Linked DNA regions of Ovis aries. The protein of the gene in region 1 interacts with the protein of each later gene in a pairwise test. Links are inferred from orthologs where the notes say so. Each region holds a gene or a part of one and is shown in the gene's direction. Other genes may lie near its edges.

Region 1 (6,855 bases):
CCCTTCTCTAAATTTAAAAGGAGGTTTTTCTTAAAATTCTGTGTTGCCAAGACGACCCCTGGCTCCACCTGAAGTTAACTTTTCGCAAACCTAGAGTTTACCAGCACCTTTTCTTATGGAAATGTTTGTCTTAAGCTATGTTAATGAGCTATGCATTTACCCTGGACTCTGTCTTTCTTCAAGTCTGTTCAGCTTAAGACTCAGACCGATTAAGGGCTCAACAAACCTGTATGTTTTACTCAAACATTGTTCTCCTCATCGATGTTAATGAAACTATGTATTTCCTTGAAACCTGTCCTTCTTCAGGATTCGTGTCAATCGCTTTATGGCCCAGGATGACCCATCTGGTGCCAGGATCATGTCAGAAGGCATGCTGCGGGTGAGGGGCCTGGTGCTGCTCTGAGGTTTGAGACATCTCCTGTCCCCAGTTAGCAGCCTGCTGATAGTATATGACGTGCTGCTAAAGGCTAGCAGGGTGGCACTCTTTCTGCCGTCTTCTGATGTCTATGTCAGAAGCTTTCTCTATCTCTTTATGCTTTAATAAAACTTCATGACACAAAAGCTCTGCGCGATCAAGCCTCGTCACAGGCCCGGGATTGAACTCGTCTCCTCCAGAGGCCAAGAATCCCGGCGTCTTTCACGACTAAGCGACCACTGTTTCCTTTCCCCTCCTATGATGTGTCCACACTTTATTCACAGAATCACAGCGTCTTCCTTCCACCACTCCAGTGAAGCTCTCGAGGGGCCCGTGCCCTAGTGGCGGGTCCGTGGAAGACGCTGTTGGGAGAGCTCAGTGGTGCTCAGGGGACGGGCCGCCTTCCTGGGCAGGCGAGTCGTTGCTCGTCCTCTGGTTTCCCTGCTCGGCGTGTGGCATTCTCCTCGGGTGCGGTCTGCCTGAGCGGTGCCCCTCCCCAGGCCTGCTCTGGGGCAGTCTGACAGGGGCAGGCTGACGTCTCTGCTGCCCCCGCCCTGCCCCGGGCACGGTGAGGGCGCGTCGCCATCCTGCTCACCAGTGGGTAGAGGGAGGCAGGGCGGCGTGGCTCCCTAGGAGGAGAACCAGAGGACAGACGTGAAGCGCCTCGGTTTCTGCAGGAAAGGCTCCTCAGAGAGCTGCGTTGCTGGTATTTAGTCGCTCAGTCGTGTCTGACTCTTTGCGACCCCGTGGGCTGTATCCTGCCAGGCTCCTCTGTCCACGAGATTCTCCGGGCAAGAATAGTGGAGCGGGTGGCCATTTCTTTCTCCAGAGGACCTTTCCCACCCAGGGATCGAACAGGTGTCCCTTGCATTCCAAGGCCGATTCTTTACCACTGAGCCCCAAGAGGTTTACTCCCAGGTTACAGTATCTAGACCTGGTGATGTGCATCATCCTCCACCTGGTACCTACAGAGCTGGAGTGAAGCTAAAGACCGGGCAGTTCACTTAAGGCCCTGAGCACCGGGCCGGACACACAGTGCGCAGTGAATGCCGGCTTCTGTCCTGCCTGGAACTGGGGACGGTCTGCTGTGGGGCGGGGGGGGCGGGGTGCCGGAGGAGGGGAGGCTCGGCCAGCTGCCCGCTCTGTGCCCCTGCAGGAGCTGGAAGACCTGCAGAAGCAGCTTCCCAAGTACCTGCGGCACCTGTGCAGCGAGGAGGACAACGTGCTGGTGTGGCACGCGCTGCTGCTGCCTGTGAGTGTCTGCGGGGCCTGCTGGGACTGGACCACTTAGGGCCGGGGCTGGGGCCGCGAGGGCTGGACCGGGCAAGGACTTTCCTGCCTGAGAGTCCTTTCTTCTTAGTTTTGGCTGCACCGGGACTTCGCTGCTGCACGCGGGCGCTCTCTAGCTGCGGCGACTGGGCCCCAATCTCTAGTTGGGTGCCGAGGCTTCTCACTGGGGTGGCTTCTCTCGCTTCGGAGCACGGGCTCACTAACCAGCACACTGCCTTAGCTGCCCCACAGCATGTGGGGTCTTCCCGGGCCAGCGAGGAACCCGTGTGCCCTGCCCTGGCGGGTGGAGTCCTAGCCACTAGCCCATCAGGGAAGTCATAGAACCCTTTTTTCACTGGAGATAATCGTTGGCAGAGGTGTCTCTGTCTACATTGATTGCTTCTGACGTCCAGGCCAACTGATGCAGAGGCTAAAAGGCCTTTGGGCTTAGTCGGAGACCCCTTCTTCAAGCCAGTAGCTACCGAGCCTGTCATGGAAGCTTCGGCAGACAAAGAGCATCAAAAACAACAACAAAAGGCTTCCTTGTTGACTAAGTGGTAAAGAATCCGCCTGCCAGTGCGGGAGACATGGGTTCAATCCCCGACCCGGGAAGATCCCACACACCCGGAGCAACCAAGCGTTGAGCCTGTGGTCTAGAGCCTGGGCCCACAGTGCCGGAGCCCACCTGCCACGACTGCTGAAGCCCTAGAGCCCCCCCTTTGCTGAGGCCTCACCCCTGGTCTTGGGTCTGTGCCCCAGCCCCAGCCTCTGCACGGTATCGAGAACACATGTTCTTTATCTGCCCAGCATTTGCTCGGACACACCCATGACTGCCACAGCTCCCTTTCTGCCTTCTGCTCAGGAAGAGGGAATTTCTTAAAACCTTCACTCCGAACTTCCGTATGTCATTCTTTTTTCAAAGGCTTATTTATTTGGCTGCGCCGGGTCTTAGTTGCGGCCTGTGGGATCCGGCTCCCTGACCAGGGGTCGAACGTGGGCCCCCTGCACTGGGACCACGGAGTCTTAGCCTCCAGGCCGCCGGGGAAGTCCCACGTATGTCGTCCTGACGGTCATTCTCCTGCCTTCTCTGCCACGAAGGTTCTGAAAGGGTTTGGAGCTTTCGCAGCAGCCTGGAGGCCCCTGTGTGCTGTGCTGGGCTCATCCGAGCCCTGGGGTCCCCCCCACTAGGGGTGTGGGTTACTGCTCCCGTGTGGAACAGTCCAGTCGACCGTGCTGAGTCCCCATCGGGCACTGTTGCTGTGACCCTGGGCAGGTCACTTGTGTATGCTGAACTTGTTTCTTCTGGAAATCCTGATGCTAATACTATGAGTTCTCAAAGTACGTACCCTAAGAGCTGACACATAAGGAGTGCTTGCCATGTGCCTGGCCATATTCTAGATCCCTGACGTGAATTAGCACAGGACTTCTCTGGGGGCCCGGTGGCCAAGACCCTGTGCTCCTCAGCGCAGGGCACCTGGGTTCCATCCCTGGTCAGGGAACTAGATTCCGCATGTTGCAACTAAGACTCAGTGCAGCCAAATACATAAATAAATAGTAAAAAAAAAATAAAATAAAATAAGCTGGTGCACTCTTCACTACCTTAGAAGAAAAGTGAATCGACTCATTTAATTGTCGGGCAAGCCCTGTGGAGGAGGTTGTGACTCTCTGTAAGGAGAGCACAGAGATGTTCGGCAGCTCGCCTAAGGTCGCACAGGCATGGGGTTGACAGAGCGACGGCTCACACTCCAGCCGCGTGGCCTGAAGCCCACGTAACCCCTACACCCTGCTGCATGGGCTAATGCGTGTCAAGCCCTTAGCAGCAGGCAGCACAGAACGGGTGCAGGAAAGCCTTCCAGTTGCTAAAGATCCAGTGGACGGAGGAGCCTGGAAGGCTGCCGGTCCATGGGGTCGCTAAGAGTCGGACGTGACTGGGCGACTTCACTTTCACTTTCACTTCCATGCATTGGAGAAGGAAATGGAAACCCACTCCAGTGTTCTTGCCTGGAGAATCCCAGGGACGAGGGAGCCTGGTGGGCTGCCGTCTCTGGGGTCGCACAGAGTCGGACACGACTGAAGCGACTTAGCAGCAGCGGCAGCAGCAGAGGGTCTTCTGCTGGCTCCTGGCAACGCTTAGGCACTCCGGTTCCGAATTGTTGTTTTAAGGTGGTAAAATACCCGTAATAGTATGCACTGCCTAAGCTCTGCTGGGTCTCTGTCGCTGCAGAGGCTTTCCCCTAGTCGCAGTGAGCGCCGGCTACTCTCGGTTTGTGCAGCACGGCTCTAGGGCGAGACGGCTTCGGGATATGCACTCCCGGGCTCTAGGGCACAGACCCAGTGCTTGTGGCGCCCGGGCTTAGCTGACTTCCCTGGTGGCTCAGACAGTAAAGCGTCTGCCTGCAATTCGGGAGACCCAGGTTCGATCCCTGGGTCAGGAAGATCCTCTGGAGAAGGAAATGGCAACCCACTCGAGTATGCTTGCCCCGGAAATCCCATGGATGGAGGAGCCTGGTGGGCTACAGTTCATGGGATCACACAGTCAGAGACGACTGAGCAACTTCACTTTCATGGACTTAGTTGCTCTGGGACATATGGGATTTTTCTGGACCAGGGATCGAACCCATGTCTGCAGGCGGATTCCTAACCACTGGGCCACCAGACAAGTCCTAGAAAAATGGTCAAGAAAGTAAATCCTAAAAACTCTCACCCCGAGGAGAAATTTTTTTTTCCTTATTCTTTCTCTTCGTTTTTTTATATGAGAAGATGGGTGTCAGCTGAACCTATTGTGGTAATTCTTTCACAGCATATGTGAATCTAACCATCAAGCTCGACGCCTTAAGCTTAGTGATGTGTATCAGTTATTTTTCAATAAAACTGGAAAGATGTTAATTACTGATATAATAAAAAGAAGCTAAGGTGGTCCTGAGGATGTCTCCAGTCAAACTGCACCCATTTCTCAAGGGAGGAAGCTGAGGCTTAGGGGTGGGAGGCAGCTGGCCCTCGGGCACACAGCAGAAGCCAGGATCTGACTCGTGGGAGTGCCAGGCCAGGGGGCTCTGACGCACAGTCCAGTTGCTACGTGGGTGCACGTGCCGTCTGTGTCTGCATTCACGGTCCTTCCTCGGAGTGGAGCAGAGGAAGCCTGGGACGCTGGGGCGGGGCGGGGAGGGGGAGCCAGGCCCAGGTCCTGGGGGAGGAGGGCAGCGGTGCCTCTGCCCAGAGCATGACTCCTTCTCTCGCACAGGAGAGGCCACCCTACAACCTCAAGGCCTTCAGGCTGTGCATCAGCTTCCCGAGGGAGTACCCGTTCCAGCCCCCCACGGTGAAATTCACCACCAGGATCTACCACCCCAACGTGGACAGGGACGGGAGGGTGTGCCTGCCCCTCATCAACAAGAAGAACTGGAAAGCCAGCACCAAGACCTGCCAAGGTGGGCTGGGTCCCGCCAGGACAGGGCCCCAGACCGAGTCGGGGCGGGGGTCACGGGGCCACTTTCGTGTCGGTGGCTCCTGTTTACTGCCGTTCAGTCACTAAGTTACGCCGGACTTTGTGACCCCAGGGACAGTAGCCCCCAGGCTCCTCTGTCCGCGGAGTTTCCCAGGCAAGAAACTACCAGGGCTTCACTGGGGGCTCAGATGGTAAAGAGTCTGCCCGCAGCGCAGGAGACCCAGGTCTGATCCCTGGGTCAGGAAGATCCCCTGGAGAAGGGAATGGCCGCCCACTCCACGATCCCTGCTTGGAAAATTCCATGTACAGAAGAGCCTGTACAGTCCATGGGGCTGCAAAGAGTCAGACGTGAGCGAGTGACTGAATTCGCTGAATTCGCTTGTTTAACTCAATGAAACTAAGCCATGCCGTGTGAGGCCACCCAAGACGGGCAGGTCATGGTGGAGAGGTCTGATAGAATGTGGGCCACTGGAGAAGGGAATGGCAAACCACTTCAGTATTCTTGCCTTGAGAACCCCATGAACAGTATGAAAAGGCAAAAAGATAGGGCACTGAAAGAGGAACGTCCCAGGTGGGGAGGTGCCCAGCATGCAACTGGAGGTCAGTGGGGAAATAACTCCGGAAAGAACGAAGGGCCAGAGCCAAAGCAGAAACAGTCCGCAGCTGCGGATGGGACTGGTGGTGGACGCAAGGTCCGGTGCTGTAAGCACAGCCGAAGGGCGGGCCTAGCGATGACGTGCGTCGCTTCAGCAGGCACTCTGACACTGCGCTGAAAGCTTCACACGGTGTCTTTTTAGTTCACTTTTTTTTTTAACTGAAGTATGGTTAATTTTGAGGGAAGGAAATGGCTATCCACTCCTGTATTCTTGCCTGGAAAACGCCATGGACAGAGGAGCCCGGCAGGCTAATATAGTCCATGGGGTTGCAAAGAGTCGGACACGACTGAGCGACTTCACTTTACTTTTACGGTTCATTTACAATGTCGTGTTGGTTTATGGCACACAGCAAAGTGATCCGGGGATCCACGTGAATATGCGTTCCTTCCACACTCTTTCCCACTGCGTCTATCACAGGTGCTGAGTGGTTTCCCAGGCGACACAGCAGGGCCTTGCTGACTGTCTTTGCGTGCAGCAGTTCGTATCTGCTCACCTCTAGCTCCTGGTGTCGCCCTCCTCTCCTGCTTCCCCTGGGTCTGTGAGTGTTTCTGCTTTGTACGTGAGTTCACGTGTATCTTTTTACGATTCCACATGTAAGGGATATCATACGGTATCTGTCCTTCTCTGCCTGACTTCCTTCGCTTGATACGGTGATCTCCAGGTCCATCCGTACGTTGCTGCAGATGGCGTCCTTTCACTGTGGTTTGCGGCTGAGTACTGTTTCCCGGTGCGTGTCTACCGCGTCTTCTTTACCCGCTTGTCTGTCGGTGGGCATTTAGGTCGCACTCATGTCCTGTCTGTTGTAAGCAGTGCTGCTGCGGACGTTGGGGTGTGCGTAGCTTTTTGAGTTAGCGTTTTCTCTGGGTATATGCTCGGGTGCGATTGGTGGATCGTGCGGCAACTCTACTTTTATTTTTTTAAGGAACCTCCTACTGGTCTCCATAGTGGCTTCACCAATTTACATATCCCACCAACAAAGTAGGAGGGTTTTCTCTTCCACCCACCCTCTCCAGCATAAAAAGTCACTTTTTTCTTCCAGATGGTATTTTTGGTGTACATCCATGGATGAC
Region 2 (7,616 bases), on another chromosome or scaffold:
CTATAGTGTTCTACATGTTCATTTAGTCCTATTAAAAGTTGAATGCAGATTTTATAAACTTGAAAATAATCAATGCTGATATTATTTAATTACACAATATATTTTTTCTTCCCATCTGCCACTTGCAGCAGCAGATAGCATGATTATTGCTTAACCCGTGTTTTCATTCATATTAGCAGCAGCTTCATCCATTATCCTGTTGACAAGAGATTATAGCTTAATTGCATGGAAAAAGTGGACTGTGTGTTGAACTTTGGTTTAAGGCACCAAAGTTTTGTACTGGCATTGATGAATAAAGTAACCTCTTAAAGGGTGTTTTGTTTATCTTTCCTGATTCCTGCCCATCAATAATGTTCACTACACCAAGAAAATACCTTGACATTGATTATCTCAGAACCTATGTTAGGCGGATCTGAAAGAGTTTTGATTACTATAACTTTGTAATATAGTTTGAAATCAGGAGATGTGATTTCCTCCAGCTTAGCTCTTTCACAAAATTGCTTTGGCTATCTGGGGTCTGCTAAAGCATTTACACTGGTAAATGCTAAATTTTAAGTTAGACACCTGTGGGGCAGTTTTCATTAACAAATACCTTTTTCATCTAACACAGATTTAGGTCTCATTCCAGCTCTGCCCATACCTGGTTGAAGTCGACCACTTAAATCTCCCTGGACATTAGTTTCCTCATCTTTAAAGCTAAATGCCTGGACTAAACTAGTTAGGACTTTTCAAGCTCAAATATCCTTCAGTTCTATTTTTTGGGACCCTGTTGTATGTTCTCTTACCATCTTATCTCCCTTGTCCTCCTTCCCTTCCTTCCCCCCTAGAAGATTGGTCCTCCTCCTAACTGAGCACACACACATACCCCTACAAGTAATAGTACTTGAAAATAATTTCCAACAATATTGGTCATAACCTGTCATTTAGAACTCTGATAATGGTTTAAGTGGAAGTCCATGAAAAGAGATGTTTATCAACCTCGAAAACCTATTTTTATTAAAAAAAAATGTGCTTTTGTGAAACTAGCTTTTTCAAATGAATTATCCTTTAAATCTAAAGTTTTCTATTACATACTGTACTGTACTGGGTTGAATAGTATCCCCTAAAATTCTTACCATTACCTAAGAATGTGACTTTGTTTGAAAATAGGGTCTTGTAATCAAATGAAGATGAGGTCATACTGGATTACGACAGGCCCTAGATCCCATAACCAGTGTCTTTATAGGAAAAAATATAGGAGAGATGTGGACAAAGAGACATGCAAGGGAAAAAGCCATGTGATGATGGAGGCATCGGTTAACTGATGCAGCCACAAGCTTAAGAAGACCAAAGACTGCTAGCAACCATCAGAGGCTAGGAGAAAGCACAGAGGTTTTCCCTCACAGCCACCAGAAGCAACCAATCCTGCTGACACCCTGACTTTGGACTTCTGGGCTCAAGAACTGTAGGAGAATGATTTTCCGTCGTTTTCAGTCACTCGAACAAAAACAAAACTGGTCCTCCTGTCTGTCCTGCCATCATACACAGAGATACACTGTGTTCTTCCGCACTTGGCTTTGACCTCAAGGTTTTCTTCAACATGGAGAGAGCCCAGAGGCAGTTCGCTTGTGTCCTTTGGCACCGTGCCGACTGCTGATCCTTCACTGGCAGGCTCAGTATTCCTTCCACAAAGGGCTGCGAGTCCCTTCCTTTTAGGAAGCACATTCCGACTGTGGTTGCAAAAGTCGAGTGAGGGTGCCGAGTGAGCACAGAAAGGTTCCCGCGTCTGGGGAGGGACATTTCTAAACTGCGACGCTGGAAGTTCGACAGAGTTGGGACTGTGATGGTGACCCCTGGGGGTGTGGGGAGTGAGTCGGTAGGTAACCTGTTAAAGACGTCGCACAAACTAAGTGTCTGAGGTTTTGGAGTGAAGAAGACCTCATAAGACCTCCCCCCCCCCCCCCACCACCCCCGCAGCTTCTGGATTACTCTGTTACATTGCCTTTAGCTGGAGTACTTACCTGTTAGGTTACTAAGCAGTCCCTACGTAATTTGTTGGCAAAGCACTTCCGGCAAAATCAGTTTTTTCCCTAAAAGTGTGCCTGTGTTATAGGAGGTCCATGAAGACTGTCCTGATTTGATTTGCCTGCGTTCTAATTTTATCATTAGATTCTAAAGGACAAATCAGGTACACGATGTTTTTAGATGAGACGTGCATGGGGACTGGCTCTACAGAAGCAAGTGTTCCGAAAGGGTGGGAAGGAGGGCTGGGAGGGAAGGGAAAGACAGGTGTCCCGGGAGGACGCGTGCAGAGGAGAAGCAGCAAGTTCTGAAGCCAGTTAGGTGAAGAAGTGTCCCGGTCTGGGAGGAAGGAAGGATACCAGGGGCTGATGATGCTGGCTGTCTGCAGCGGGCGTCCCAGGAGGACGAGAGGTCTTGTTAAGCGGAGCGAGCGCAGGAGGGCCGGACTGCTGGGGCGCGCGGGCCGCCGGGTTCAGACAGGGTTAAGACCATCACCTGCAGCTGAAGTGCGACCCAGATGGGGAAGTAGGAAGTGCGCGCTTGAGCTTCCTGTATAAATAAACGCACGGCTCCTGTCGCTGCTGCTGCTGCTGGCGGTGCTGCGTCCCGCGCTCTGCGAGGTTTCCCGGGCAGCGCAGCTGCGCCCCGAGGCAGGAGGCGGTTCGAGGGACTCCTCCTCCCTCTCCGGCCGGATCGGTCTGGGAGCCCGAGCCCTGTTGCAATCCTGCAGAGCGCAAAGCTGTCAGCCGCAGAGCAGGGCGGAAGACGGAGGGCATGGAACAGCCGTTCCTCCCCGGGGTGCGAGCGGCCCCGGCTGGTGGAGTGCGCGAGGCAGGCTGCTGAGAAGCCCGGCGGCGGCCGGGAGGAACGGAGCTCTCCGGCCAGGTAGGTTTAGGCAGCTTTTTAAGTGCTGCAGGCATTGCAAGACAGCGGTGGGGTTGGACTAAGAAAAGAAAAAGGGACGGGAGACTCACTCGGATATCTGGGTTGTTTAGCTTTATTTTCTGCCTCTCGTGCTGAAACCGTGCGGAATCGGATTCATTCTGAACGCCTGAAACACCTGTGAACTTTACAAAAATAGCTCTCCGTTTACAGGCAAAAAGGAAGGAGCTTAATTTATTGTAAAACTAGTCTCTGCAGAATGTATTGTAAAATTCAAGATTAGAGCAGACCTCCCAGTGTCTTCAGCTGGAGACCAGAGTAGGCAGAATCTCGGATACTTATCTTCTGCTGTTTGGGAATGCATGCCAGTAGGTTGACATACCTACATATGGATAAGATGTTATCCGTGGGATCTTGGTCATACATTCTGCTGATTATTTTGTTGTGTAATTGCGGGTAAAACAGGGTGAAACTTTGATCTTCCACTGCTGTTCTCAAGCTGAAGTTAAAATGAAACTGATCCCTCTATCAGTGGAGAAAAGATATCTTTAGCTGACCCCTTCCAGGGTACCTTTTGTTTTTCTTACAAGGAGTTTCAGAGATTCTGTTGTCAGTCTACTCTTGAATGTACTTCTCACATTTAGATTTCTCAGAAATGATTTCCCCTTTCTGGCAATATGTTCTCTCTTCATGCTTGCACAACAGTCTCACTTTTTTCATACTTTCTGTTGCATGTATCATATCAAAATATTAGCTGAGGCTGGCAGTAAGGCTAGCAGTGTTCTTCTGATTTGGCATTTCTGGAGGTTTATTTGAATGTTGCCAGGTATGAATTAAAGAACAATGTATCTAACATTTCTGAAGCAGCCAATTGGGGGTGTCTAGGCCCCGAAGCAAAATAAATGAACCTTGCCATGACTCAGTTTTTAGGGCGCGGATAAAGAGGCAAAAGGAACCCAAGCCAGTCTTCAGTGAGTTGCTGGCTAAAGTATCGGACTACTGCAGCTTTCACTGAGATGAGCCTCTTGGCCCCCAGTCCCTTTTACATCTAACCCCTCTGTTGGTCCCTCCTTCTCCTTCCTCTGTCCTCCCTTTTTAGCCCGAGTCCTTTTCATGGGTAGCAGTCCCTTAGGTATTTCTGAAGATATCTTGAGCAGGAGAGAGAAGGAGAAAAAAAAATATCTATAGCCATCCACAAGGCCACGTGGAGAGAATTGTATTAGGAAATCCAAGGCCACGTTTTCATAAAACTCCTGCCTTCCTTTTGCATGCCTGTGACTGGGATTTTATTCTTTGTGATGGGCATAAAGTTAGAAAAGTGGGAAAGAAAATAAATTGTTCCAAAAGGAGCCTCTGACTAATTGGAACTGTCTTGATGAGTAAACAAATTCAAGGTATAGAAAGTGTAAAAAGATGTCCTGTAGCAGAATTGAATTGCTGGGCTTTTATAAATTTAAAACAAACAGAAAAAAAAAAAAGTCCCTCAACCAACCCCCTCCCTGCCTCCCCCCAAACCAATCACCCCAGATAACTTGCTTCTACAGTACTGTGCTGGACATGAGGTTTGAGTGTGGTCAAACACTGTCCATTTACCCAGAGTTTTACAAATATTTACAATCATCTATGCCAAATATCTTTGTGCTGAGCCCCAAAGAACATTCTCAGCATTCAAAAGCCCCATTCTCATGAATGGTTTCAGTTCATTGGCAATTTAAAGGCATCCAGGCTTCCAAACTAGGTCAGCTTAAGAGATGTCTTTTTTTAAACATAATAATTAGTTTTTGGGTCTTCCAGATTATGATCCAGGTTTTCAGAGCCAAACCCTGCAGCAGAGAGGAAAGTATCCTCTATCAGGAAGAAAAAAAGCTTATTTTAGCTGTATAGTAAGACCATCAACGTTTCTGCAAGCTGTCTTTTGTCTTCCGTAATACAAATACTTTTAATCTGATAAATTTATATTTATATTTAAATTTTCCTTTTTGAGACCCGTGTTCGATCCCTGGGTCAGGAAGATCCCCTGGAGAAGGGAATGGCAACTCATTCCAGTATAATTGCCCGGGGAATTCCATGGACAGAGAAGCCTGGTGGGCTACAGTCTACGGGGTCACAAAGAGTCAGACCCCACTGAGCCACTAACACACTTCCAGGAACATTGTTAAGGACACCAGACTCATTCCTCTGTACTGTGTCTTTTACTAGTCTCGGCTTCTGCCTGTCTCCTGGATTGACTTATGATTCTACTTTCTTGTTGAGTGAAGTTCTTAGTGTTTGGAATCTCTAGTTTGAGGTAGAGGTCAGGAGTCATGCGGAACCCAGATGTTGCTAGAGGAACAAAGTCCAGACAGTTTGGGGACTAAACCTACTTTGTGCAGCTGATTGCTTTGGAGATGGGAACTAGGTCAAGCTGAGCTTGGGGAGTGGGTATCGGTAGCCACTGCTCCTGAGTACTGAGACTCTTTTTCAGGGATGCCTGTCTTGGCTTACTGAAGCACCTTTGATACAACAGATTGTCAGTATTTTTCAGCTTTTGAATTGCTGGAAGTGACTACAGATGAGAATCAGGCTCTGAATATATTCTCTCCTCCACGTACATTAGATAAGTTATCTTCTGTGGTGTTGAGGGACTGGAGGCTGAGGACATAAAGACGCATATGATGTAGCCTCTGTCCTGAAGGAATTTGCATAGGCTTGGGAGTGACTTTGGACCAGAATGGTAATTTTTAATTCATGTTGTTTTACCTGAGAGTGAAAAATACTTTGAATTTTGTCATCTCAATTATGTCTTTTCTTTTTGATGTTTCCCTGATGTCACCTGAGTGTTAAGTAATTTGAAGAGGCATAGGCCCACCTAAGTTAATTTATTTAATTATTTTAAGTTTTAATTTGTTTTGTCACCTTTAGGCCTCTGTGGGAGGTCTTGTACTAATGTTTTGTTTCTGTTATCATTGGAAATTATTATTTACTTGGTCTATGAGTACTTCTAAACCTAATGTATTGTGCTACAGTAGTTATTAAAAAATGGGAAGGTGTAAAAGAGAGTGAAAGTGGTTAATACTTTTGCAGCATGAAGTGAGAAAATTCTCATCCGTGACTGAATCCCTTCCTGAGATTGAAAGCACAATGGTCTAAGTAAAATACACTTCTCTTATTCATAGCTGGGGATATTTCTAATTGTATGGCTTGTGGTGTCAAAGAACATGCTTCGAAAGCTGTGTCTCATTGGTTTCTCATTCCTCTGCAATCACGAGTTTGCGTCTCAGACCTTCAGTCAGCTCATTCTTTGTTTTTCTTGGGAAGGTAGAACAAGACCATCTCATTTCTTTTTTTGTTGGACTTGTGGCTGAAGCTGTAAACCCTGAGGATGCTTATATGAAACTTTCTGATGACAACCTTCTCAACTAGTTTACTGTTAATAAGTGGGGACTGTGTTTAATGACCTTTACATCCACATTCCATGTGTGGAATTCGATTCTTTGTGGGTTGACCTTATTTCCTGCACTTTGTATTTTCCTGTATTTTATTCCTTGAGAAATTGATTTGGCAGAGACGTACAAAAATACATATCCCTGCACCTCACTTAGTGTGAGATGGAAGAGTTCTTTCCCCAAACTGGTTTTAAATTTGTATCTATAAAATGTCTCTATAAAACTTTTAAGTTTCATAGGAGAGGGTAATATTTATACAAACTTTTATGCATTTGAAGAAAACATTTTGGTTTAGATATTCATTCTTTAGTAACTGGAGTTTCCTGGTAATGTCATGACCCAGGAAATCAGCCGGTCTCTTGCTCCATGGGGCTTTCTGAAATAACACTTCTCCTTGATCTGTTAATTACATCACTGTCTGACCTGCCTGTAAGTGGCATTCCTTCCTGCTTCTGAGCTTTGTTGTTATACCAAACAGGGGGAAGAAAATTATTCAGCAGGGCTGTGTGAATAATTGTGGGAGGCCAGGGAACCACTGATTAAAAAAGAGGTGGGCAGGGCACAGTGGTGGGGTTGGGGAGGGACCTGTGATGATGAATGTAAAATTACAATGTTAAAAATGTCATTGAGTTGTTATTCTCATCTTCACTTCTACCTTCTTTGAAAGTTTTGTTAGGAAATCTGGGAATGGATTCCCGCCTCTTGGGCCTTACCTTATAGTGGTGATGAGAACAGAGAAAGAAGGCAAGAAAAAAATAAATTTGCTTTTCAGAAGGGTAGGCATTTTGCAGATGTTAAAACTTGACCTCCCAGATGTCCTGTACTCCATAAGGTTCAGAGTAAGCTTATCACAATATCATGTACTTTGTTGGTCATCACTTATATCTCTTTCCATATAGTTTTCCTATATATCATGCATGTAGCAAAATGTAAAAATTAGGTCTGATTACTGTCACCTTAAAAAAATGGTAACTGAGGTAATGGAAGTGTTAACCAGCTTTCCTGTGGTAATCATCTTGCGAAAGATATCTATAGCAGATCATTGGGTTTTATACCTTAAAGTTACACAATTTTTTTCTTAATGATATCTCAATACAGTTAGGAAAATAGATCTTATTAAAATAATGTACCTCATTTGTTACATAATTTCAGATAGCAAAGAGACTACATAGAAAACAGTTTTTGATAATATTTAAGGTTTCCTTCCTAAGGATGTATCTGTCCTTTTCATCCACAAAAAAATGAGTAGAGATATATTTGTATATCAGTTCCATTTTTAGAGAAAAATCAGGTCTCCAAGTTCGAGTT
Region 3 (7,497 bases), on another chromosome or scaffold:
ATGGGCCTCATTGACATCCTGACACAGTATGATGCCAAGAAGAAAGCAGCTCACGCAGCCAAAACTGTCAAGCATGGGGTGAGGGTTCCCTGAAGCCTTTCCTTTCCTGTCTTGACTATTCAAGAGCCTCTTGTGCCAGAGCAGTGGGGTGGCAGAAGGATGAAGGGCTGGGTATGGAAATGTTTGGGAGTGGGAAGAAGGGGAGGGCAGGGAGCAGGGGAGGGCTGTGGGGACTGACACCCTGTTCCACACCTTCCTCTCACAGGCAGGGGCAGAGATCTCTACTGTCCACCCTGAGCAGTATGCTAAGCGATTCCTGGATTTTATTACCAACATCTTTGCCTAGGAGACTGCCTGACTTCATGGTGACTGCTGCCCTATGTTTCAGGTGGTGGGGGCCTGAGAGGCATGGGGAAACTGTGGATGTTCTGGCCACTAACTTCTCTTCCTCTTTTGCTAACTTCAGGCTACAGGCTCCTCCCATCCAAATAACTCCATCTTGTTGAGTAGGCTCTTCCTGGCCCTCAGAAATACCGATTCATTGTTTTCCCTCCCCTTCCTTCCCTTCTCTCCCTTCCCTCTTTCCCTTCCCCACCAAATTGCTTGCTTCATTAGAGTGTTTACTGTTGACTCTCTCCCAAGTGCCTTGATCTTTGTAAAATGTCCTGTTGTTTCCATAACAGAGGAGGAGCTGGGGGAAGGGGGTTGTTGGCCATCTTCAAGACCTGACTGGACAGATGGACCTGGCTCAAGCAACTTACTCTGGATGCACTTTGCTGTGTGGGATGAGCTAAGAGTATCTGAATTTTGCTGATAACTTTATAGAACTCGTTGTGGCATGCTTCCTTCCCAATAGGCCCTGGGATGGAAGATTTTCAAGACACTACAGATGTGGGTGCCAGCATGCACACATACACTGGGATATGGCCAGTCTTACCCAGGTGGGGTGGAGAGTGGTTGGTGGGCTGGCAGCTTGCAGAGGTGGGACCTATGAGGACTCCTGTGATTATTTAGGGAATTGGAGGTCTCTGTTGAGGGGGACTACTCTGATCTCTTCCCTCACTCCACCTACCCCCACTAGAGATGGCCATAGTGTTGAATCTTGGGTGAAGCTGTTTGACTGCTGCTGCTCTTCACCAGGACCTCACATCCCTCCTAGGGCCAGAACCCTTCCGTGGGGGTGTGGTCAGTTCTGGAGGCTGGACAGATGAGCCAAGGGTGTAAGGTTCACTCCCTGTGTTAAATTTCCTTTCTTCATGTCTAGCCTTCCCGGAGGTTTTAGTCCCAGCAGAAGGGAATACCTCTACTTGGGTTAACCCTCATCATCTCTAGAGAATGGAAGTCTCACATGGGGATGCCTCCTCCACTCCTCGGAAGTATGCCCCTAGCATACTTCCTCCCCTGCCCCTTCTCAAACCTTTTCCCAGTTGGAGTTGTTATTCTGTTCTTTTCTGTCCATCTTAACTGCTACTGTGTCTCTCAGGGGACAGATGGCCCTCTTTGTCATCTTCACTCTCCACCCCCAGAGAGGAGTCAGAGCCATAACTCAGTCACCCAGCCCCCTCCAAAGAGAGTTGAGCTGATGCATGATATTCTCAGAATGCAATGGACCCTGATGAGCTGGGATAGTTCCCTTCCCCGCAATGCCTTTGGGCCTCAGGCAGCCATTCATCTTGTGATTCTGCATCTCCCCTGAGGCTTCTGCATTTCTCTGGAACACAAAGATGGGGCACCAGCAAGTGGCCTCTAGGAATACAAAGACTCTCAGCTCTGTATCTGCCTGGACTGATCTGTCTCATAAGAAGTCATGAGGTCATAAAGGAGAATTCTTCCTGCCCCTCCGTCTTCTCCAAAGGAAGTAACAAGAGGAGTCCCCGGTTGAGGATTGGAGCCCCTATAAAATTTTCCTGTCAGGAGCCTCATGGGTCTTTTTCATTCCACCGTCTACCTTTCCCTTGTTGAATGCAATAAAACTCCATGACACCAGCAACTTTGTTTAGAACTGGGTTTTCTGACCCATTTCTGGCTGATGTATCATAAGCATTATGGTTTTCATTTGTTGCTTCTGTTTTTCATCTTTTTTGTTTTATTAATAAAAAGATCTCGTGTATTTACTCCCATTGCTGTCACTATAAGGAAAATAAATTATTGAATTCAAATTTCTTCACAGAAATTCTTTTTCTCCCCCACTCCTCTTTTTTGGAAGCCTGGGCTTAGGGGTGCAGTGACATGTAAAGAACTGATCTTTAAGGTGTTGGGTCCCTAAGGACGTGGGTTTCAAGATAGATGGCTGTGAGCTTAAAAGGTGGCCAGGAGTGTGCATGGGAATGGAAGACATTCCCCAGTTTTGCGGGAGTCAGGTACAGGGGGGTCAGGGACAATTGAGGTGACGTGACCCCCCTCCACCCCTTTCCCCAGGGTTCTGGGCTAGATCACACATCTCTAAAGGTGAGCGAGTCTTAACAGCACCAAGCACACGTGAGCTAAAGCAGAAGGAATCCAGTATTTCCCCAGGCTTCCTGGGAAAGATGTCCTTTGTGTGGAGGACAGAAAGAGTACATCAGGATCCTGGGAAAGTAAAGAAGGAAGTGACCAGCCATCCAGCCTGGAGAGGGAGTGAAGAAAGTGGGTGGATCAGCAGAGGTTGTTGCCAGTGTGAGAAATCTATCCAGTACTGTTTGGCCAAGGAGGTCTTCTGACCGTTGGAAAAACCTGGCTTGATGTGGCCCCAGGGAAGTGAGTTGGACTGGGTGCGGAGACTGCTGGCTCTGATGTGGGAAGCATAAGAGGGTCGGTCCCTACCCCCAGCCCTCCCTCCTCGATTTGTGAGTTTTTAACTATTTCAACTATAGACTTGATACCATCACTCCAAGGCATTTTTTTTGGATAGAATGTATTCACTTATTCTGCACCAGCCTCAGTGTAAAGAGAAAAATCAGAGATCAATACCCAGCTGAGAGCAGGTTTGACAGAAGGTAACAATCTAGGAAAAGGCAAGCAATAAAGAAGGGAAACGTCTTAGTCCTGGATTTATTTTTTAGAACCAATGCTTTTTACTATGACTCTTCTTCCTACCTCCTATTCCTCAAAGGCCTTTCTAGAAAAAGGATCACAGAGAAATTGCCCCCTCTTCCCCACCTACCTAAACCAACATTCCTCACCCACCCATCTGCCACCAGCTTCCAGAAGCTGCCACGCAGCTGGCTGGCAAAGAACAGGGAGAGAGGGCCCCTCTCCGGAGGGGAAAGCGAGAAGGGTAGCGTCTCTAAGGGATTTACCCTCCTACCCTGGGCTCCACGACACCACCCCCGCCTCCAAAGATTGGGACGGCGCCTCCATTTCTGTTTTGGGGCGGAAGGCAGGGGCTTGTGGATGGAAGGGGGTCAAAGGAAACGGTGATTATCACCTGGGAGGGGGAAGGGGGAGCCATCCTCCTTCATTCCCTTTTCCTCAGTCTGCACCCCCTGCAAACTCTCCCCCCCCCACACCTTCTCGGGGTCTCCCCCCACCCCCGCCCTTGTTGCTAAGGCCCAGACCGTCATCCCAGCAACAGCCTCAGTCATGTGACCGGCAATGGCGGCGCTGACGAGAGGTAGGTGAGCCCGGCGCCCCCCACACCCACCGCGCGCCCCCCGGACCCTTCTCGCACCCCCCGCGCGCCCTCCCGCTTCCCCTGCGCCCGGTCCTCGGTCTCCTTCTCCTGCGCGCGACCCCGGGGGTCCGGGCCCGGCCCCGCCGATCCTCCGTCTGTTACCCTCCAGCCTTGGCCTCCATTTGGGGGTTCTGGGGCCCGCTATCCGGCCGACATGCATCCCCACCCAGTGGTGGGGCTGCCGGGGCTTTGCCGAGCCTGGGATGCGGGGAGTTGGTTCCGGGTCGCGTCTGGCAGGAGGTCGTGGGGGGGAGGGGTGGAGATGCCTCCGTGATGCCCCCAGGGACCCTGGCCCTTCCTGGCTGCCCCTGTCCGCCGGCCCCTCTCGAGCGGGAGGGACTGGCCCCGTGTCCGGCCTGGGCTGCCCCAGAGGAGTCGGACCCAGCAAAAACTGTGGCCCCGCCTCCCATTTCTGTGCCAGCAGGACTCGGAGCAAAGGACACCTAGGTCCTGGCTTCACTCTGATGGGGAGGGGGTGTTCCACCTGGATGGACCGAAAGAGCCGAGGCTCTAGGGTTCCGATTTCGCTTTATGAATCTTGAGGTGCATCTGGCCTTGAGGGGACTGGGAAGGAGGCACAAACGGAGAGCTGCTCCCTTTTGGATCAGTCAAGGAATTGAGGTCACACTAATGGCCCTTCTTTCTATTTGGGCCGCATTTGGAGGTGTTGTAGGGATAGCTCTGTAGCTGAACACAGCAAGACTGGGGCAGGGAGGGGGTGGTGGTGGTGGAGAATATCAGGGTGCTCCAGCGGATCCCCTGTGTGAGCTCCACCCCTCCTGAAATGCAGCCTAGGTTGCTGGCAGGCCTGGATTTTGTGTGCTGGGTTTAAAAGGTGACAGCGAGAACTTCGTTATTACAGGGGCTTCTGCCACTTGGTCCGCATTCCAAACAGACTCCAGCAGAAGGGACTGGGTTAACACTCAAGGAAGGCACCCTAGCACTAGGAGCTGAATTATTGGCAAAATGTGGAGCAGGGCGAGAAGCTGGGGAGCAAAGGAGATATTCTTGTCCTTGTGATCTGAGGGAGGTGGCAAAACAGACCTCTCTGTGTGTGGGCTTTTCCCTTCCAGACTTCTCTAATCTGTGTCCCTAGGTTTCTTAAGAGCCCAGAGCTGAGGAAGAGGAAAGTTAGCATGTTGAAGTTCCTTCTTTAGGAACTTGGCCAGAGGCTGAGGATGAAATTCTGCAAAAGACAGGGAGAGGAAATGGAGGAGTTTTTGTTTGCTTCTGGGCTGACTGGGGGAAAGGGTAATATTTGTCATCCTAACCCCTCCTCCCTCCCTCCCCCCCTCCCTCCCCTAGTCCTGGTCAGCTGAATGTGGAAACAGAGGGAATTCTGCTGTCACCGTCCATGGGCTTTCCAGGTATCTGCCTTTCATGGAAACTTCAACTTTCACCCTTAAATTGGTTTCCTTCATTCCATGTTCCTAGTAATCCCATTCCCAGGAGATTTACCCCCAGGTTCTGTCTGTCTTGTGGGCTGCTGGGTGGGGGCATGTGGAAATGGGAGAAGGGGTTTTCCACTCCTTTTCCTTTCCACCCACCAGGTCACACAACCTACAAGTAGGGAGTGGGGACAGAGCGCGCGCCTGCATGCCAATTCTAAGCTCTTCAGGATCAAAGTGAGCAAAAAGGAGGGTTGAAATCTCCTTTCCTTTTACAGAACCCAGTCCAGAGTTGGGGAGGGCCAGGATGCTTCTGTGCTCTAGGGAGGAGTGTAGAACCAAGACTGATGCTTACCTTAGATGATAATAAAGTTAGAGCAGCTTTCTTGCTCTTCAGAGGGTGCTGGAGTTTGAAAGATGGGAGGAACTAGAACGTGAACTTGGGGGAGGAGATGGGGGTTGGGCTCTGAGAGAGTAGAGGTAATATAGACCGGAAAGGAATGGGAAGTAGGAGGCACTGATATCTGTGAAATGGGGACCCCCCCACCCTGAGTCCCTTTTACCCTGGGGGCAGTGTCGTTCGTCCTGTCCAGAATGGCAGCCTGTGGAGGCAATTGCAAGAACAAAGTGACTGTCTCCAAGCCTGTGTGGGACTTCCTGAGCAAGGAGACCCCTGCCCGGCTGGCCCGGCTTCGGGAGGAGCACCACGTGTCCATTCTCATAGACGGCGAGACTTCTGACATCTATGTTCTCCAGCTTTCCCCTCAGGGCCCTCCCCCAGCTCCTCCCAATGGGCTCTATCTGGCCAGGAAGGCTCTCAAGGGGCTGCTCAAGGAGGCAGAGAAAGAGCTCAAGAAAGCTCAGAGGCAGGGGGAGCTTATGGGCTGCCTGGCTTTGGGGGGTGGAGGGGAGCACCCTGAGCTGCACCGCCCAGGCCCACCCCCTCTCCGAGCAGCCCCACTTCTGCCCCCAGGGGCCCGGGGGCTTCCCCCACCTCCTCCTCCGCTACCCCCTCCTCTTCCTCCCCGCCTTCGAGAAGAGACAGAAGAGCAGGAGAGCACCTGCCCCATCTGTCTGGGAGAGATCCAGAATGCCAAGACGTTGGAGAAGTGCCGGCACTCGTTCTGCGAGGGCTGCATTACCCGGGCCCTGCAGGTGAAGAAGGCCTGCCCCATGTGTGGCCGTTTCTATGGGCAGCTGGTGGGCAACCAGCCCCAGAACGGGCGGATGCTGGTCTCTAAGGATGCCACACTCCTACTACCCAGCTATGAGAAGTACGGCACCATCGTCATCCAGTACGTCTTCCCGCCCGGTGTCCAGGGGGTAAGAAGACTGTGGCTGCCCTTACCCTTTGGTTTCCCCAGGCTCCTTGTTCTCTGATTGTTCTCTGATTTAGGAAAACTGGGTGCGAGGGGAGTATGGTTGTTAGATGTGATATAGTCGTGCTGTCTCCTGGGATGCCTTCCCGCTCAGCTCAGTGCCCTGGAGCAAGAGGCCCCCTTGAAGCCTAGCTTTTCCATCCCCACGACCCCAAGGCACCCATGAAAATCAGGTATGAAAGAAAGGAATCGAATTCTGTTTCCTTGATGAACTTGGATGTTGACAGCTATTGTCAGCAGAGGTGAAGCCTGTGAGGATGGCGGCTCAGGTGCAGACCAGCACAGTGGGAAAAGTCAGACCTCCCCTCAACAGTGCTGGGAGTGTTAACTCCATTTCAGATTTATGAGACAGAAAATTTTGTTGACAGTCAAAGGTTAAAACAGTAGTGGTCAAGAGCCTACAGGTGTCTTTTCCTGCTTGACAAAGAGTAATGTCCAGTTCTGGTTTGCAGAAAGATGAGGGAGCTCTGAAGGAGAGAAATTCAAAAATGGAACAGGTTAGACAGTGGAAAATGCACTGGGAGTACTTTCAGGTGGAGAAGGGAAAGCTGAAAAATAAATGATTCTGTCTTCACATTTCTGCTGAGTTATCTGGAGAGTAAGGCCCAGCTTACCTCCCGTCAGTTTCAAGAATCGTTTGTTGTTTGCGGGATTGGGAGAGCAGAAAGAACCTCTGAATGATGAGAATTTTGTCTGGAAACAGGCTTCTGGTGCCCAGACCCTAGAGCTGGTCCTTCCGTGGAAGGCTGTCACTGCCCCAGCAGCATTAGCTGGGAGTGCACAGCCAGAAGGCTGGCCACCACGACCCTCCATGGGCCTTAAGATGCACAGCTGCTCATTCTGCCTCCCCATTCCCCCAGGCTGAACACCCAAACCCAGGAGTTCGGTATCCTGGCACTACTCGGGTGGCCTACCTCCCGGACTGCCCCGAGGGCAACAAGGTGCTGACCCTGTTCCGCAAGGCGTTTGACCAGCGTCTCACCTTCACTATTGGCACCTCCATGACCACAGGGAGACCGAATGTCATCACTTGGAACGACATCCACCACAAGACCAGCTGCACAGGGGGACCACAGCT
Region 4 (6,855 bases), on another chromosome or scaffold:
CTGGACCACCCAGGGACTTCAGGACCCTGCAGTGTTTGATGAACTGTGTACCACTACTTTCCCTCCCTCCCTCGAGGCCTTGGTGTGGGAGGTTTAGAGGGAGCCGGAGTGTTGTGAAGTTACTAGCATTACAGGCCTGCTTATACTAAAATTCACATTGTCTAGTCAGTTAATCTTTGGTCAGAACTATGTATGTTCAAAACTCTGAGGGGGATGTTTTCATTCTCAGGAGTACATAAAAGATCAAAATGAACTATTTTGAGGCAGTGGTGTAAGGGTCAACTCTCTGTTTCTTGTGACATTTGTTTATTCAGAAGATTGCCATTGAATTAAAGCTGGCAAACTTTCCCTCCAACTTCATGAAAAATTTAAAATATACAAAGACTTTTAAAGAATTGTGCAGTAGGTATCCATTTATCTACCGTCTAAATTATACAGGTGCTAACTTTTTCCTGCATTTACTTTATCATGTGTCTGTCCATCGATCAATTTTATTTTTAGCATTTATTGAAGTATTACTTACATTCCATTAAACTCATCCATTTTAGAGTGTACCAGTAGAAGAGTTGCAGTAAATGTGAACAAATGTACAGCCATCGCCACAATCCAAGTTACAGAACATTTTCATCAGCCAAAACGTTCCCTTATATCCATTTGTAGTTAGTCCCCAATCCCAGTCCCAAGAAACTACTGACCATCTTACTGTCTGCATAGATTTGCCTTTTCTAGAAATTTCATGTGACTTTAATCTTATAGTATGTAGTCTTTTGTGTCTGGCTTCTTTCACTTGGCATGTTTTCAAGGTTCATCCATGCTGTATCACATGTCAGTAATGCTTTCCTCTTACTGCCCAGTGAGGATTTTCCATTTTATGGATATATACCACATTTTGTTTTTTCATTCATTCATCAGTTGATGAACATTTGGGTTGATTCCAGGTCTTGGCTCTTATGAAATATGCTGCTGTGATGGTTTGTATAACAGGGTTTTGCATGGACATGTTTTCATTTCACTTGGATAAATATCTAGCAGTGGGATCGCATGTAACATTTTAAGAAACTGCCAAACTGTTTTCTGAGGAGACTCTGCTATCTTACATTCCCACCAGCATTATATAAGTGTTATAGGTTCTCCACTTGCTTGCCAGCACTTAGGTATTGTCAGTCTTCTGTATCATTCTAGTGAGTGTGAAGTAGTATCTTATAGTTCTAATTTGCAATGGCAATCCACTCCAGTACTATTGCCTGGAAAATCCCATGGACAGAGGAGCCTGGTAGGCTACAGTCCATGGGGTCGCCAAGAGTCGGACATGACTGAGCGACTTCGCTTTCTTTCTAATGACTAATAATGTTGAGCTTTTTGAGTTATGTGAGTTCTTTATATGTTCTGAATTAAGTCCTTTATCAGATATATGATTTGCAATTATTTTTTCTGTTGCAAATCATATATTTTGTGGCTCGTCTTTTCTTAATAATGTCTTTTGAAGAATGAAATTTAATTTTGATGAGCTCCAGTATATCATATTTTTTCTTTTAAGGATTGTGCTTTCAGTGTCATAGCTAAGAAATCTGTACCTAAAAAAACAAGATTGCAAAGATTTTCTTCAGAAAGTTTTATAGTTTTCAGTTTCATTTAACACTGTGAACTGTCTTGAGGAAATGTTTGTGTGACATGAACTAAGCTTTTAAGTTCTGAGTTTTGTATAGTGATGTTCAGTTATTCTGGAACCATTTGTTGATAAAAGACTGTTTTATCATCTGTTGAATTACATTGGTACCTTAGTAGAAAATTAATCATAAGTGTATGAGTTTACTATTCTGTTACATTGATCTATAGATATGTCTGTCCTTAAGCCAGTACCCCACTGTCTGGATTACTGTAGCTTTATAGTAAGTCTTGAAGTCAGATGGTGTAAGTCTTTTCCAACTTTGCTCTTTCACGGTTGCTTTGGATATTCAGGGTCCTCTCCATACATTTTAGGATCAGCTACTAATTTATACCCTAACCCCTGCTTTGATTTTGATTAATTTTGATTGCTGTGTTCTGTCTAGCTGCATTGTCCATTCTGGTAGCTGCAATCACATGTAGCCACTGGGCATTGTGGCCAGTTTGGATTGGTATGTTCTATAATTCTGAATACAATGGACTTTGAACAATTAGATGGAAAAAAAAGATGTAAAATGTAGTTCATTAATAATTTTCAGTGCGTTAACATGTTGAAATATTTTAATATATTGGGTTAAATAAAATATATTTATCAATACAGTTTAGTTTTATCAATAAATTTTAATTTTTATTTGCTGCTATGTAGAAACACATTTGTGATTTATATATATTGGCTTTTTGCTCAGAGGGCCCTTTGTATCCTGACTTCCCTGTAGGTCTTCCTTGGTGTCCATTACTGGGCAGAGTGCCATCATTCTATATTTTGCTTTAATTAATGGTCTTAAAATTCCTTCACATTCATAATGGATTAATTGGGGGAGACTGAGGCCTTGGCAGTCTGTGATACACTGAGGCCACGCTATGGGCACTCACAGTGCCTCCGGTAGAAGGCTGGTGGGAGGTGCGTGTGCCTGTAGTGTTGTATGTATTGATAATCCTCAGCAGTTGGCTTTGAAAGAATAGATGGACATCTGTTCACTTTTATGAAGCACTAGACACATCACTGACTCGATGGACATGATTTTGAGTAAGCTCCAGAAGTTGGTGATGGACAGGGAAGCCTGGTGTGCTACAGTCCATGGGGTCACAAAGAGTCGGGCACAACTGAGCGACGGAACTGAACTGAGACACATCCTCTCTTCACATTATCCATTCTCACCAGAACTCTGCTGGAATATTCTGAGTTGGTCATTAGTGGACTTGTAGTCATCAGTAAAATTTTCAGTTTCAGCGGAGGCCTGTGTCGTTTTCCATACATGGAGGGGCTGATGCTAATTCTGAGGCTTTGTTGCTGTTGCTAGTGCTGTTGAGATCAAGGGATCAGACCAGGTATGGTGCTGAAGTTCTATTTTTTTGGGAAGGTCAAGAAATTTCATTTTGGGAATTCCCTGGTAGTCCATTGGTTAGGACCCCACTCTTCCACTGCAGGGAAGTAAGCTCCCACAAGCGGCGCACTGCAGCCAAAAATAAATAATAAAACAATATAATTTTCAGGTTGTAAAAATATAGTTGTAGCCAAAAGCTGTTCTCAAGCAAATTTTAACATTTATACCAAATACTTTGTCTCTGTTTTCATTCTGTGATAGTAGTCTTTGTGGATGAATAGTTTTGTTATAGAGGCAGAGGTTTTAACCAGGGGTGTTTTTTGTTTGTTTTGTTTTGTTTTTCTGGGTTTATATAAGAAGTTCAAGCCTGGAGAGCTTCTGCAAGTAACATGCCTACCTGGAGGTGCTCGTGTATGGCCTCCTACAGCAGCTTCAGCAAACATAAATCACATCAGGGAACTTACAGCTCATTTGCTTACTTTGGATTCTAGGTCCTTATTTACTGTAGATAGGATGGTTTTGTGTAAGTTTGAAATGAAACTAATTTCTTTGAAGGGTTGCTAATGAAAATAAAGGTTGAAAAATCGAGAGATCCAGGAAATTGCTTAAGACTCTAAGAGTCTGAACGTAAAAGATAAAACAGAACCAAGAGGAAGATTTTAAAATTCAAGCCTGGACCTGCAGTATAGAGAAATGTATGCATTTCTCAAAATGTAAGAGCACTCTGAAAAAAACAACCCAACTGCATTATAATTTTATTTCTTTTTTTCTTCTTTCTAGGTGTCTCATTCAGTTGCTAAACTTATATTAGTTAATTTCCACTGGCAAGTTGCCGAGATACTGGACAGGTAAGGTGTTTTGGGGGAGGAAGAGATGGCGTTGTCTGTAACTTCTCTCTGCCTGCACACCCAGTGGTAATAATTGTCTGTGTTATGGAGAATATCCTTACAGTGTGCAGAGTATATTTTTTAAACACTGGGTCATATTGTATAGCCTTTTTTCTCTCAGTATATGGTGAACATTTTCCAATGTTTTCAGCATATTCTTTCTGTACCCCCAGTTTTAATGAAGGTACAGTATTTTACCATATTGATGTTCCATCGTATTCCAAACCCCTGTTGTTGGACAGTGAAGTTAGGTCAGAGTTTTTATGCCATCATTAATGTTAAATCAGTGCCCTTCTAGATAACACTTGGCAATATCTCCAGGTATTTCTTTCAGACACATCAAGTGGAATAAATACATCATGACATAGTGCTTATTACCTTCAGAGAGAAAGGTCAGCTCATTTACCACCATATCTCCAGAACCAAAGCTCTGATTCCCTTTATGCTTTTTGCTTTGTAGATACAAGTCTAATTCTGCCCAGCTGCTCGTTGAGGCTCGAGTTCAGCCCAATCCATCAAAACATGTGAGTGTCCCTTCCTGATACACGTGGCTCTTGCTATGGCTCACACGGTTATTGAGAACCATCTTATTTTGTTTATAGTGCAGCATCCCCAAGATGCTTGTTCCAGTATAGGCCTAAATCTTCCATTTCCGACATCATTTGGACATTTTCCTCATAGACGAGGAGTGAATGGCTGCCTGCCCTCTCCAGCCTCACCCGTCTCCTGCACTTATATATAGCCTATGCTCTGTCCTTGCTGTGTTCTTGGGGTGCCCGTTCACTGCATGCCTCTTTAACTCTGCTGCTGCCTTCCTTGGCTGGGATTGTCCAGATCCTGTACCCATCTTTGCTCATGAGAATGGAACTCACCTTTAAAGACCCAAATCCAAGCCATGTCTCCCAAAACCTGTCTCCTGGGAACACTTCCCTCCAAACTCTTTTAATTATATGTTTCAACCTTTACATGTATATTGCAGTGATTCACTCATATCTTTTTAGCTCCCATAGTAGACTAAGTGCTTTTTAAGTTTAGGAATCATATCCTACAGTGTATAGCGATTTCCTGTTGTTGAGAGTTCAGTCAGCATTTGTCAAATGAATGGGGGAGAATTAGGGCTCAGATCACCACATAACTTATGCAGCCTCTTAGAGAATTTCCAGAAGCATACTAGACAGAGTATGGTCCTTTTCCTCAAATTATTTTTTGTATGGCCAGTGAACTAACAAGAACCTCATGTTGGGCTTTCACTGGTTTGTGGCTTTGGCTGGTGCCCCCAGACTGTCTTTGTGAGTTTATGTAGCAGAGAATGGGTTCTGGAGCTATTAGAGGCTCACACTTCAGCCCCTAAGAACCTATTGGCTGGGTTTATAGTACTTGTTGAGAAGCAACTCTGGCCATGCTGAATGAGGGCAGTTTTCAAAAGAAACCTAGTAGCCTCCAAAAGAAGGCAGATTGAATGACCTCTGAAATCCTGGTCTTTCCAGCCTGACCTTATAAACTACTGTGAGATCTCATTTCCATCTTCTCTCTCCCTCTCTAAATCTAAGGGTTCACCAAGCCTGGCTCCACTACCACCTCCTTTGGGAAGCCTTCCTGATATTATATTTTTCCACTCAGAACTGGCACTCACAAAGCCCACACATGGCAGTGGAGTTCTGATCCTTCTTGCAGGCTGGCTCACGTCACTGTACCTCCCTCCAGGTGCCCCCAGCCCACTCCCCTCACCACTGCGCAGTGTGTATGCAGTTTGTGCGGAAGGAAAACCTCCTCTCTCTGGCCTGCCAGCACCAGTTCTGCCGCAGCTGCTGGGAGCAGCACTGCTCCGTGCTCGTCAAGGACGGCGTGGGTGTGGGTGAGTCCCCGTGGGGCTCATAAGCGGCTGGCAGGAACTGTTCAGCTTCAGCCCTGCCCTTTCTGCCACTCAGGTGTTCTTGTGAACCTAACTGAAGTTTTCAAAATCAGAACCATTGGTTTCCAAACATGTCAGTCTGAACAATGGCAAGGTTTACCCTAGTCCTGAGCAAGATGCAAGAGTTAAGGCTAATGTTTGGGCATTTATGTAACTGCTGGTGTGACGGCAAGGCTACCTTCTCTTGCTTTTTGGGAGAACTGTCCTTTAAGCTGCCTACCTTGTCTATCTTGATTCTCAAAGTGGCAGCCATACTTCAGAAACTCCTAGAGGGTTTACTGTGATTTAGGTAAGCACAAATCAGACTTGGTGATGAGTTAAAGGAGTCTTTGTTAAATTATGACTTCATGATATTAAAATTAGCATTATATTAATTATATCTGTAAAAGCTCACTGTGTTGATGGTAATCACATGCACATAATAGTAAACATCACAAAGCTAAATTGTAAGTCAAGAACCCTCTGGGATTTTTTAAGCAGTTTTTTTTAATCGGTGCTATTTGTGATATATACTATTTAATTGCTCTTGTTTTTGTTGTTTGGTTGGTTTTGGGTTTTGTGGGTTTTTTTTTTTTTTTTTTTTTCTTTTTGTTGTGCTGTGTAACTTACAGGATCTTAGTTCCCTGACCCAGGGCTCTGGTAGTTAGAGTGCCAAGTCTTGACCATTGGACCATCAGGGAATTATCTGTCATTTTAAAATTTGTAATAATATTTTAGTTGCATCACTATATAAATATATTGATTTCTCTCTTTGAATAAATTCTGATGCTGCTGGGGTTCCCTGTGTAAAACGTGAGTTTGTTGGGTGAACTCAGCAAATACATTATAGGTGTGTCTTCTGCGATACAGTTGTCCATCCGGTTGTCTTTCTTCAACAGGTGTCTCTTGCATGGCTCAGGACTGCCCACTTCGAACACCAGAGGACTTCGTGTTTCCATTGCTGCCCAATGAAGAACTGAGAGATAAATACAGGCGCTACCTCTTCAGGGATTACGTGGAGGTATGCCCAGCTGCTGCCTGGTCTTCCTGAGCCTCCTTTTCATCAGATGCTTACCAGTTACTGTAC

The links.
Region 2: the proteins of UBE2L6 (region 1) and RNF144B interact in binary tests that used the Homo sapiens proteins (3 or more experiments, as listed by UniProt). The link is inferred for Ovis aries from reciprocal best matches to the Homo sapiens genes UBE2L6 and RNF144B.
Region 3: the proteins of UBE2L6 (region 1) and DTX3 interact in binary tests that used the Homo sapiens proteins (3 or more experiments, as listed by UniProt). The link is inferred for Ovis aries from reciprocal best matches to the Homo sapiens genes UBE2L6 and DTX3.
Region 4: the proteins of UBE2L6 (region 1) and ARIH2 interact in binary tests that used the Homo sapiens proteins (3 or more experiments, as listed by UniProt). The link is inferred for Ovis aries from reciprocal best matches to the Homo sapiens genes UBE2L6 and ARIH2.

The regions. Positions count from the first base shown.
Region 1 is NC_056068.1:79,632,252-79,639,106, reverse strand, and holds part of UBE2L6 (ubiquitin/ISG15-conjugating enzyme E2 L6), read left to right. Parts: intron 1-1,571; coding exon 1,572-1,667; intron 1,668-2,097; coding exon of another isoform or gene 2,098-2,135; exon of another isoform or gene 2,136-2,572; intron 2,573-4,925; coding exon 4,926-5,112; intron 5,113-6,855. UniProt on the Homo sapiens protein: Catalyzes the covalent attachment of ubiquitin or ISG15 to other proteins. Functions in the E6/E6-AP-induced ubiquitination of p53/TP53. Promotes ubiquitination and subsequent proteasomal degradation of FLT3.
Region 2 is NC_056073.1:38,532,365-38,539,980, reverse strand, and holds the start of RNF144B (E3 ubiquitin-protein ligase RNF144B), read left to right. Parts: upstream 1-3,232; 5' UTR 3,233-5,593; coding exon 5,594-5,596; intron 5,597-7,616.
Region 3 is NC_056056.1:162,059,000-162,066,496, reverse strand, and holds the start of DTX3 (probable E3 ubiquitin-protein ligase DTX3), read left to right. Parts: upstream 1-3,557; 5' UTR 3,558-3,592; intron 3,593-4,957; 5' UTR 4,958-5,019; intron 5,020-5,202; 5' UTR 5,203-5,248; coding exon of another isoform or gene 5,249-5,276; coding exon 5,277-5,277; intron 5,278-5,614; coding exon 5,615-6,363; intron 6,364-6,436; coding exon of another isoform or gene 6,437-6,551; exon of another isoform or gene 6,552-7,279; coding exon 7,280-7,497. Other genes in the region: PIP4K2C (phosphatidylinositol 5-phosphate 4-kinase type-2 gamma), read left to right, coding at 1-78, 266-346. UniProt on the Homo sapiens protein: Regulator of Notch signaling, a signaling pathway involved in cell-cell communications that regulates a broad spectrum of cell-fate determinations.
Region 4 is NC_056072.1:51,056,086-51,062,940, reverse strand, and holds part of ARIH2 (E3 ubiquitin-protein ligase ARIH2), read left to right. Parts: intron 1-3,770; coding exon 3,771-3,838; intron 3,839-4,337; coding exon 4,338-4,401; intron 4,402-5,581; coding exon 5,582-5,732; intron 5,733-6,667; coding exon 6,668-6,789; intron 6,790-6,855.